Linked DNA regions of Arabidopsis thaliana. The protein of the gene in region 1 interacts with the protein of each later gene in a pairwise test. Each region holds a gene or a part of one and is shown on either strand. Other genes may lie near its edges. The genes, in order: AT4G13530, AT3G61180 and FBP7.

Region 1 (3,756 bases):
GGAGATGAAACAACAGAGAGGACGGACAAAGAAATAGATCACCCAGGTGGTATTCTAACGACTATTAACACTGCTCTCACCAACTACACATTCTATGCCAAAAGTATCTATCAAGAACTCAACCGATGCAGTGGTGCTATATCAAAAACCCTTAGCAAGATAGTGTAAATGGGTACGAGTGTATGCCTGTTGGTGAATACTATGACCTCGAGTCGCTGGTTGCATCTAAACTACTTAGCAACAAGAAACTGGTCCCAGGACAAACAAGGGGATGATCTGATCTTCTCATTTTCCCCATCAAAACAACAATTGACACTAATAAAACATCTAACTAAGCAGTAAAAGTTGAACTAAGCAGAGCTCATATCACACCAAAAGATCATACAGTAACCACATGACTCATGAATCAACATACTCAAAGAACAATAAACAATCAAATAAACCAAGCTAGTTACCTTATCATCCAAAAGAACCTTAAGCTGCAAGGAACGAGTCTTCTTCTTCATATTGTACAATCTACGCCCTAACATAACAAAACCCACAAATGCTGCAGCCATGGACAAAGACCAAATAGGATTAATTTTCAACACACAATACTTCAACACCTCTATTGGAATTTTCCACCACACAAACCCTTTCTCTTCTCCTCCTCCACCACCAGATTTAACACCAGGATCAATAGAAACAGAGTTTCCTTCTCCTTCCACTGGATGAAGTAAAGATTCTTCCTTTCTCTCATCAGAGCTTATCAAATCCATGTCTTGAGCTATACTTTCACTATATTCAACAATACCCACTTCGTTTCTCTCTATACCCATCTCGTTATTCACATCATCATCCACTAACCTCTGATCATCAAGCCGATCACTGCTTGAATCAGACCATAACTCACTAAAATGCTTCGGACCATAAGGAACATCGGAGCTAGGTTCGATCCATCCTGGACTACCCGATTGAACAGACCCATCTTCATCGTTTGCCTCCAAACGAGACAAACCACTCTGGTTCTCAAGAGAGAAATGATCAAACCTAATCATACCTTGCGTGCCATCATCAATCTCCTCCAAGCTCCTCGAATTGTCATCTTCCGTGGTAGATCTCGAGCTCTGAAGTATTTCCCAGTCTTGAATCTCTCCTTCCATGTCAAAGTTAGGGGTTTTTTCGATCCAATTGAGGAAAAGAAACAAAAGGAGTCTTTGTGTTGGGGCGAAAACAGAACCGAAACGCTTCTTTCTCTGTGTGGAGATCACAGAAACACTAGGTCGTGGTGTTAACGTGGCGTGGTGTGATTGGATAGAGGATGAAGTCAAAAGAGTGGTTTCGTTGACGTGTGGGTTTATGATAACTATATGGATTGACAGTGTATGTTGTTACGGTGGGCCGAGAAGTAGAGGACCTTCAACCGCTTTTGCTAATCAGATATGCTCAACTTGAAACTGGAGGGAGAGGAAGCAAACACGTCATATAAATGCATTTTGTGAAGAACATCATAATTTATTGATACCGAACCAAATCCAATAGAATGTATTTTTACTTTTTACTATTTTACTTTTCGTTTTTTTACTTGTTTTTTCTCGTTCAAATTAGGTGATCGATGAATTGATAATTTAATTGTAATCCGCGTAATTCATATTCCTTCGGTTCTATTTTGTTGATTTTGAAGAAAAAAAAAATTGTTTCAAAAAAATTGATTTTTTAAAATTTTTATGTAATATTTATTAGTTTTTATTAATGAATTGTAAACTTTAATAAAAATAATTAAATTTTATTGGTTTAAAGTGATAGAAAATTGTAAAACACAAAATATAATATATTTAAAATCAACTTTAATATATTTACTTTTGTGTGTTTTTTTCTAACAATCAAACAAAAAAAACAGAGAAAATATTTATTTATTTTTGCTAAGAAACATAGGAAATATTTAATATTAATCGAAACCCAACTTTTTTTTCAATAAATGTTTAGCGTTAATATCATAGTTTAACAAACATTCTTTTTTATAACTCAAAATTTTAGAGTTTAGTCATTAAACCAAGATGTGGAGATTTTATAAAGGTTGAGGTAGGGAGGAGAAGAAAGTTAAGAGGCTCATGGATGGTGGCTTGCAGAGATTTGGGAGTTTTTGAGAGAGTTGATGACGTGGCAACTTGAGAACACATTTGTTAAAAGGCTGAGGTGGGTAGTGTGAGAGGCCTCAAATAACTTTTTTTTTATTAGTAAGAGATTCTGAAAAGAGGTTACCGATATCTAATGAATTGCTATCGAATGTTGAAATCTCATGAAATTTGGCTACACTACATACATACGACTATAAGGCAAGTAACAAAGACTGCTAGGGACTGACAAAGTGACAAGTGACATCTTTATGCTTAGCCTCCTTTTCCTTTCTACCATAGTTGAACATCAAGCACATTATTTCCATCTCAAAACCGGCCCAGAGAATATAATATGACACGATGCAACAACAGAACTTGGCCAGGGGAATTATACACCCCCTCCTACATACCACAAGACAGGAATTATACACCCCCTCCCACATACCACAATACAACACACATTCAGAGACCACGAGATGGTGAATTTACAAGAAATCAACATGGAACAAGATACCATATCCATATAAATCATTGACTGATGTATCTGAGTTACATGGAAGATACAAGAGACTATTTCTCTTAGGCCATTAAATTGTTGGTAGGAATATGTGCTTCAGTATGAGTTCCCTAGTTCACTTAATCACTAGTGGAAAGTTACAGCTTACATGAGGATTTCATCTCTCACCGGGAAGTTTCTCTAGACCCGGTGAGTCACATGAATATCAACACAATGAAACACATCAACACATATTTCAGAGACCTCAGATGTTGAAATTACAAGCAATCACAATGGAATATGGTACCAAATGAATCAATTAGTTTCTATCTTAAGCCAATATCAATAACTTTCACATTCTTCACATACAAATTCACAACATTCTTCACATACAAAGACTCTAATTTTCAGTTACTAAAATACCAAAACACTAAAGAAAATTAGGTTTCAATCTCCAAAAAACATCATCATCTCCAGAACCAAGGAAAAAAAAAACATTCTAAATTTGAGCCAAAAAAAACAATCAGACAAAGCACAATAACACACAAATCAAATGTTTTAGTAATCCAAATGAAGAAAAACATTGTTACATACCACAAACATAAAAATCCCAGAACTTATTACACACTTACTACATAGGTTTCTCCACAAATTACATCAAGTTTAGGAAAAAAAACTGAAATCTTAAAGAGGAAACTTAACCGGATTTAGTTGATATCGGTGTCATCGAAATCATCATCGAATTTGTTGAAGAAATCGGCGTCGGCGAGCTTGTTATCTGAGACAAGTCCTCCTTCGTTGAGTATCTCCATGGCTTCGAGGTCATCAACGTCCATGGCCATCGAAGAACCTGCATCATCCATCTCCGATAACATATCCAGCTGCATCGGCCTCATTTCTCTCTTCGTCTCTTCTTCGTTTTCTTCTTCGGGAAAGATCTAAAATGTTACAGTGACTGACTGTCGAAGTTTTGATGTTGAGGTCATTTTCTTTTAGGCCTAAATGTTGTGGCCCATCTTTATCTTCTTAGGCCCAATTGATGTGGCCCATGTTAATTTTAATCGTTCATTTTTCGTAGTGATTTTTAGCTGAATCTGTGGATTTTTTTTTTTTTTTTTAAGATACATCAGTTGAGGAATTGGCTGAAAAGTGGAACTAGAGGAA
Region 2 (3,756 bases), on another chromosome or scaffold:
TAAATAAATAGTTATATAGATGATGGGAATGGAAACAAAATCATAAAATATATAAACATAGGAAGGATATTTACAAAAATCAATAAAAATTAAATAAAATAAGAGAGCTTTATATATATATAATTTAAATTTTGTAATATATTGAATGGTCCAAATTGCATTCTCATTGATATTTATCTATAAAAAAAGGATTTGAAGTTCTTTTAATATCTTAAACCAAATGAGGGTTTTTGTAATATATGTGACTTGTAAATATCATCTTTATATATATGTGTGAAGTTGTGTGTCTACGTGTCTAATATACAATCAATCCTAATAGAAAAAAAAGTTGGACGCATTTGATTTGGAAAGCATTCAAGTATATTAATTAGAAAGAAAATAAAAATCCAAATAAACTGTATATTCATAAGATGGACAAGTCAAGAGATAGTGAGAATGGAAGTAAGTGTTTTAGAAAGTAATCTGTTCAAATATAAATAGAATTGAATTCAAATAACACTTTTAGAATGAGATAAACTTTTGATTTAAATGCCATCTAATTCAACAATAAGATATGAAAGAAAACCTCTTTTTTGTAACTAGATTTCCTGTTTCTTGCCCAACATCAAAACCATTGGATTTGATTTTGTTTTTTTTTTGGTAGGTCAGATTTTATTTAGTTAATGAATATGTATATGTTTTTAATTTAGATAAGGAATAACTAAGATTATTCATTCCGCTTTCATTCATGTGTTTTTAAGACTTTTGTTTCAAATATACCAATGTTTTAATTTTGTAAAATAATTGTTATATCCATGATCCATCCCTGTGAAGCTCATATGCTCAAGTAGTAGCTTATAGTTCATGTGAAATAAGAAAATGAAATCAGAATTTATATAATAATATAAGACATTGTGTAAGTTTAATTTTATTTCATGTCATTATCATTGTGACATTGTCATTATCATTAGTTTTATTATCATTATTTTATTACTATTATAAATTACAATTTGACTTTGTAAGAGTTCAAGTTTTGCAAGGAAATGTGCAGAGGCAGCTTTTTCTATATACGTTTGGGAAGCACGATCCATTTCCTTTCCATTTTTGCTTACACAGAGTAGCACAAGTGCTATCGTCACAGTTTTTAGCTCTCATTAAAAGATCACGACACATTTCTTGTCCTTTCGTCTCTTTCGTTACCATCCCTAACAAATATTAAAACATAAGCTTTAAACACAATCTTCATAGAACCAAAAAGATGTATTAAATGTTTTAAAGAATGGTATATGTAACGCAAACCTAGAACGAAGACGATCATGAAAATAGCGAATATGGTGGATTTAGCCATCTTTGATAAAAATTTTAGAGTAAAAAACCAGAAATGTTGATGATAATATAGATGTGAATATCATTATATATATATAAAAGAAATTAAATATATACATATAGTATGTACATGAATAAAAAAAAGTAGACAAAATCAATAAATAAATAGTTATTTAGATGGTGGGAATGGAAACAAAATCATAAAATATATAAACATAGGAAGGATATTTACAAAATCAATTAAAATAAAATTAAATAAGAGAGCTTCTCTTATATATACAACTAATAATTTTAAAATTTGTAATACATTGAATGGTCCAAGGTGCATTCTCATAGATTTTTATCTATAAAATATATGTAAATAAAATCCAGTTAATTATCTTACAATTCTGATTTTCATGTACAATAAGTTGGATTAATCTTTAAAAAATAAGTTGTAAGGATCCATCAAATAATCCCCTTCTAACTATAATACGCATATTTGGAGTTTAAACTCTCAAAATTTAGATATTGAATTGAGCCTTAAACCTCGAAAATAAAGTATGTCTACTACAATGATATAATTTAGATATAAACTTAACATAACACAAATTGTGGGGGTACAAAAAATGTTAGCAAAAATATAAAAAGTCCTTTTGGAAAATAAAAAGATTTGAGCAACTACATTAAGTTTATGTATTTTTTTAGAATTTCCCGGAAGAATAAAACTACTGTAGTCTCATGATATCAAAACGTTTATTGGGGACAAGACATTCTCTTGTCGTTTTGTCAATTATCCATTAGATAGAAACTGGTCCTCGAAACCTAGAATCATCCACCCCGCAAAGTCGACAGATTTCCAGCGAATTCAAACCCGATCCATCGAGATTCTGGATCAACCCGATTACCCAAGATCCAATCTTTCTAATTGATGAATCAATCGATCCCTTCTACCGTATCTTCTTCTCCGACGACTGATACGATGGACGCTTCGCCGCTTCTTGGCCGGAACAGACGTAACCGCCCACGGTCCTCTCAGCCGATTCGTGGCGCGGCGTCGAGACTTCTCCGCCGTGCTAGCAACCGCCGGATGATGCTCCGTGAGCCCTCCGTTCGAGTCCGTGAGGTGGCGGCTGAGCAGCTTGAGGAACGGCAGAGTCAATGGGCTTACTCTAAACCCATTATAGTTCTCGATATACTTTGGAATTTCCTATTTGTGATTGTTTCAATCGCGATTCTAGGGTTTAGTTCTGATGAAGATCCTGATGTTCCTCTTAGGTTGTGGATCATTGGGTATAATGTTCAGTGTTTGTTTCATGTTGGATGTGTCATTGCTGAGTATAAACGTCGCCGTGTTGCTAATTCTCCTCCTCCTAGTGGTGAAGATTCCTCCAATCACGAGTCTCTTAGCGGAAGTGAAGATGAATCTGATGGCTATAGCATTAACAACACTGATGATGATGACCATGGAACTAGGTTCAATTTCTTTCTTATGGCTACAGCATTATACTAGCTTAGATTCAGAGCAATGTTGGTTCTTGTGATAGACTTATACTAGCTTAGAATTCAGAGCCATGTTAGGTTGAAGGAAACTTTTAGGATTGTATAGAAATAAAGAACTGAATGAGAACTGTTTCCCATTGATCTACTCTCATGTGGTTTGTTTCCTATTCTAGTTTCACTAAGCACCTTGAATCTGCGAATACCATGTTCTCTTTTGTGTGGTGGATCATCGGGTTTTACTGGGTGACGGCTGATACCGAGGCACTAGCTCAATCTTCGCCACAACTCTACTGGTTTGTTTCTAACAAAAGTTGGCTGTTGTGATTTTGTATTCTCAAGAGTTTGTTTCTGTGATTTATTTAATCTTTGTTTCTTGTGTGTTTTGCAGGCTCTGTGTTGCATTCCTTGCGTTTGATGTTATGTTTGTTGTCATTTGCGTAGCGGTTGCTAGTCTTATTGGTATTGCTGTTTGTTGCTGTTTACCTTGCATCATTGCGATCTTGTACGCATTAGCAGATCAGGTAAAGAAACATTATGATGATGAAGAACAAATGAGTCTCATGTTTCTTGGTGAATCCTATTAAGCGATTTGTAAATTTCAGGAAGGTGCACCGGATGAAGAGATAGAGAGGCTTTTAAAATTCAAGTTTCTCACAGTAAAGAATTCTGAGAAAGTGAATGGCGAAATACGGGAAACTCAAGGAGGGATAATGACTGGATTAGATACCGAGTCTCAAACCGAACGTATGTTATTAAGCGAAGATGCTGTAAGTAACCATAATCAAATCTCCCATTTTCTATCGAATTTGGATAAAGACACTGAACTGACTTTAGCAAAACCGGAAAAAAAAAACCATTGCAGGAATGCAGCATTTGTCTATGTGCTTATGAAGATGGAGTAGAACTAAGGGAGCTTCCTTGTAGACACCATTTTCACAGTTTATGTGTAGACAAATGGCTAAGGATCAA
Region 3 (3,756 bases), on another chromosome or scaffold:
CTAATACCAAGGTAACTCATCCTAGAGTTATCAAATATCTCAATTCCATTATGCTGTAACCAGTTCATGATATACTACATAGATGGATTCATATTATGCCATTTAATTTTACTGGAGAATTATGTTTAAATTTATGAAAATTCTGAAATGAGTTTATTTGTAAAAGTTGATATTTCGTACTAAATTATGTTATGGCTATGGAAGGAGCTGCGAGTGTGTGCCATATTAGCTGAGTCGGACTCTAGTGTCTATAATTTACTTTTTGAATATTCTCAGTAAAAGCTTCAAGAATCCTCAGTCTCTGCAATATTTTGATTTTCAGGCGATGTTGTTCATTAACTTCACTGGAGAAGGAGCTGAGTCTCTTAAATCAAAGTACCGTGAAGTTGCTACATCCAACAAGGGACAGGGTCTTAGCTTCCTTCTAGGTGATGCTGAGAACAGCCAAGGTGCATTCCAGGTTAGTCTTATTCTTCTATCTTCAATCGTTTATCTCCAAGGTAGCATTGGTTTCAAATTGCTGAACACATTTCTCTCCTTTCTAAACCATTAACAGTACTTTGGACTCGAAGAGAGCCAAGTTCCTCTCATCATCATCCAGACTGCTGACGACAAGAAATACCTGAAAACAAATGTTGAGGTTGACCAGATTGAATCATGGGTCAAGGACTTCAAGGATGGAAAAATTGCTCCCCACAAAAAATCTCAACCTATCCCAGCCGAAAACAACGAGCCAGTGAAGGTTGTTGTTTCTGACAGCCTTGACGACATTGTCTTAAACTCTGGAAAGAACGGTGAGTTACTTTACATTGTTAAATCACAAATACCTGTTTGCTCGTAGCAAAAACTTATAAATCAGTTTTCATTCCTCCTATTTACTTGCAGTTTTGCTTGAATTCTATGCTCCATGGTGTGGACACTGCCAAAAGCTTGCTCCAATCTTGGACGAAGTTGCTGTGTCGTACCAAAGCGACTCAAGTGTAGTCATCGCTAAGCTAGTAAGTCCTTTCTCTTTCTTCACATTTGAGAGTATTTGTTCTTGATCACCGGATTCTTACTCTTTCACTTGTCCAGGATGCAACCGCAAACGACTTCCCAAAAGATACCTTTGATGTGAAGGGATTCCCGACCATTTACTTCAAATCAGCGAGCGGAAACGTTGTGGTTTACGAAGGAGACAGGACAAAGGAAGATTTCATAAGCTTCGTCGACAAGAACAAGGACACAGTTGGAGAGCCTAAGAAGGAGGAAGAGACAACTGAGGAAGTCAAGGATGAGCTCTGAAAAGAGAAGTGTGTTGTGTCTCTTAGCTGCTAGCTTAGTTTGGTAGTTTTGAGGAAAATACACAGAAGAAGACAGAGCATTGAGTAGACTGAGAGACAGAGAGAGAGAGACGACAGACAGACAGAGAGAATCTCTTTATCTATTCATTAGGTTTTTATATGTGCACTCTTCAGAACAATAATGGCTGCCTCCTTTTCTTTTTTTTGGTTGATGTTACCTTTTTTTGTTTGAATTCAGTTCTCCTTTAATATAGTTTTTGAGGCATTTCTTGGGACGAGTTCTAACACTAAAAATATATTAATTCTGAAGCATATACCAAGATAATATACTAGTTGACTCTTAATTGGTTCCACTATTTGAAAAGAAAACAAAAGGCTAATTTGGTTGTTGAGGAAAGTATGAGAGAAAGGAAACTCAAGCAGATCGTCGAGGAGATCAAACGTTACTTTTACTGTCCAAGCGTTTATCAACATTTACAATTTTATTGACTTGTTCAACATGCTTGTTCCTTTTTTGGTCCTAATACTTTCAGTTTTTTCACTAAACAATCTAATGGAAGAACGAGAAACAGTTAAACTAAACCAATTGGTTAAAGATATTGAAACCGACCTTGAACTGATTTAACTCAGAAATGTCGGTTTCGTTGTTTGTCTGAATTTTGTGAACCTCGAGAAAACAATAAAATAATATTAAAAAAAAGACAGAGAAAGAGTCTCTGTTTCTATCTTCTTCTTTTTTTTTCCCGGTAACAGGGAGCTCGCACGGGCGGCTACGAAATCGCTGTATTTTCAAATCGTCTCTCAGTTTCCATGACTTCAGGTATTGCAATCTTGGATTCAATTTTATTAATTTTGACGAATTGAATCAGATCAATACATGACACCGAGAACAGATCAATTTTGAGAAATTTTCTCTGTTGATTAAACTTTCTCTATATTTTCATTCAAAAATCATTATGATGGGAACCGTTTGGCTTTGAGTATCCTTCGAAACTCGTATGATTGGAGGTGAAAATAATTTAGAGATTGATCTGGTAGTCTCGTGAATGTGTTCAATTACAAAATTGAGAAACGAAAGGTTTTTAATTTATTCATATTGAACTTGTATTGATGCTATCACTGAGTTTCAAGGTGAAATTGTGAGCTATTTATTGATTCTTTTGTGAAAGAAAGAAACTTGATTTCATTGGTGCTTGTTTGTCACAGATGCTCTCACTATACCATCTGAGCTTGAATCTGCCTTGCGGCTCAGGACTGTACAATACTTTATTACAAAAAGGCCTTGGCTTGGTACATCTCTAATCATTTAACACTCATTCTCTTGTCTGTTTTCATCTTATCAAGAATTGGGTTTATGGTTTGTAATGAGTTACATTTTACAGATCTTTATGGAGTCCATGTGAGGCCTGTGCCACCATTCGGAAGTACAAGCCGTAAACCTCATTTTGATCCAGCTTTGATTCATCGTTGCTTGCCTGATGAGCTTCTTTTCGAGGTTGGAGCTTTCTTTATACTATGTTTTGTCATTGTACTGAAATTTGTTTTTCTTATGTACTGGAGAAGTTGATTCTTGGATATGTTACTTGTAGGTGTTTGCTCGGATGATGCCTTATGACTTAGGTAGAGCATCTTGTGTTTGTAGAAAGTGGAGGTACACAGTTCGAAACCCTATGTTCTGGCGTAATGCCTGCTTGAAAGCTTGGCAGACTGCTGGGGTTATCGAAAACTATAAGATCTTGCAGTCTAAATATGATGGATCATGGAGGAAAATGTGGCTTCTTAGATCCAGAGTTCGTACTGATGGTAATCTTTCTTTCTTCATCCTCTTGCTTCACGACATTCTAGCGCCAAGTGATTGTTTTCTTTTGTATGCTCTGACTAACATCGTGTCTTGTTATATCTTTATTGATTAAAGTAACTATGTATCTTCTTCTCAGGTCTTTATGTGAGTAGGAATACTTACATTCGAGCTGGAATTGCTGAGTGGAAGATTACAAATCCAGTTCACATTGTAAAGTCTTTGTCTTTTTCTTTCTTTTCTTCTTCATCTGTCCAATACAGACACATATAATAATCTGCGTCTTCTTTTGGAAAATTTGTTGCAGGTTTGTTACTACCGCTACATAAGGTTCTACCCTTCTGGCAGATTTCTTTACAAGGTTTGCACTCTTCGATATAAGTAGGTATAAACGTTGAGCTACTGGTGGGATCTAGTCTGATAATGATCCATCCGTATTTGTTGTTATTCCTTCAGAACTCTTCACAGAAATTGAAGGATGTTGCCAAGTACATGAACTTTAAGGCTTCTAAATCTGAAAATCTTTACAAAGGCACTTATACACTGTCAATGTCGGATGATAAGGTTAGCTCCCTCTACTGCCTTTTGGCTGGTAATCAACAACATTACATCTTCATAATCCTGATTACTGAAAAACATGTTCTTTTTGCAGATCGAAGCAGCTGTTCTGTACCC

What was found.
Region 2: the proteins of AT4G13530 (region 1) and AT3G61180 interact in a protein complementation assay, tested with the Arabidopsis thaliana proteins (one large-scale study listed by BioGRID).
Region 3: the proteins of AT4G13530 (region 1) and FBP7 interact in a protein complementation assay, tested with the Arabidopsis thaliana proteins (one large-scale study listed by BioGRID).

Annotation. Positions count from the first base shown.
Region 1 is NC_003075.7:7,864,194-7,867,949, reverse strand, and holds the start of AT4G13530 (uncharacterized protein), read right to left. Parts: upstream 1,623-3,756; 5' UTR 1,143-1,622; coding exon 456-1,142; intron 1-455. Other genes in the region: SMAP1 (small acidic protein 1), read right to left, coding at 3,300-3,488.
Region 2 is NC_003074.8:22,643,465-22,647,220, forward strand, and holds the start of AT3G61180 (RING/U-box superfamily protein), read left to right. Parts: upstream 1-2,027; 5' UTR 2,028-2,215; coding exon 2,216-2,760; intron 2,761-2,960; coding exon 2,961-3,080; intron 3,081-3,175; coding exon 3,176-3,308; intron 3,309-3,389; coding exon 3,390-3,554; intron 3,555-3,649; coding exon 3,650-3,756. Other genes in the region: LCR53 (low-molecular-weight cysteine-rich 53), read right to left, coding at 1,006-1,184, 1,279-1,327.
Region 3 is NC_003070.9:7,647,231-7,650,986, forward strand, and holds the start of FBP7 (F-box protein 7), read left to right. Parts: upstream 1-1,963; 5' UTR 1,964-2,093; coding exon 2,094-2,103; exon of another isoform or gene 2,104-2,281; coding exon of another isoform or gene 2,282-2,291; intron 2,292-2,489; coding exon 2,490-2,573; intron 2,574-2,665; coding exon 2,666-2,778; intron 2,779-2,872; coding exon 2,873-3,086; intron 3,087-3,220; coding exon 3,221-3,294; intron 3,295-3,388; coding exon 3,389-3,442; intron 3,443-3,537; coding exon 3,538-3,645; intron 3,646-3,733; coding exon 3,734-3,756. Other genes in the region: PDIL1-1 (PDI-like 1-1), read left to right, coding at 1-11, 323-460, 557-794, 886-998, 1,075-1,284.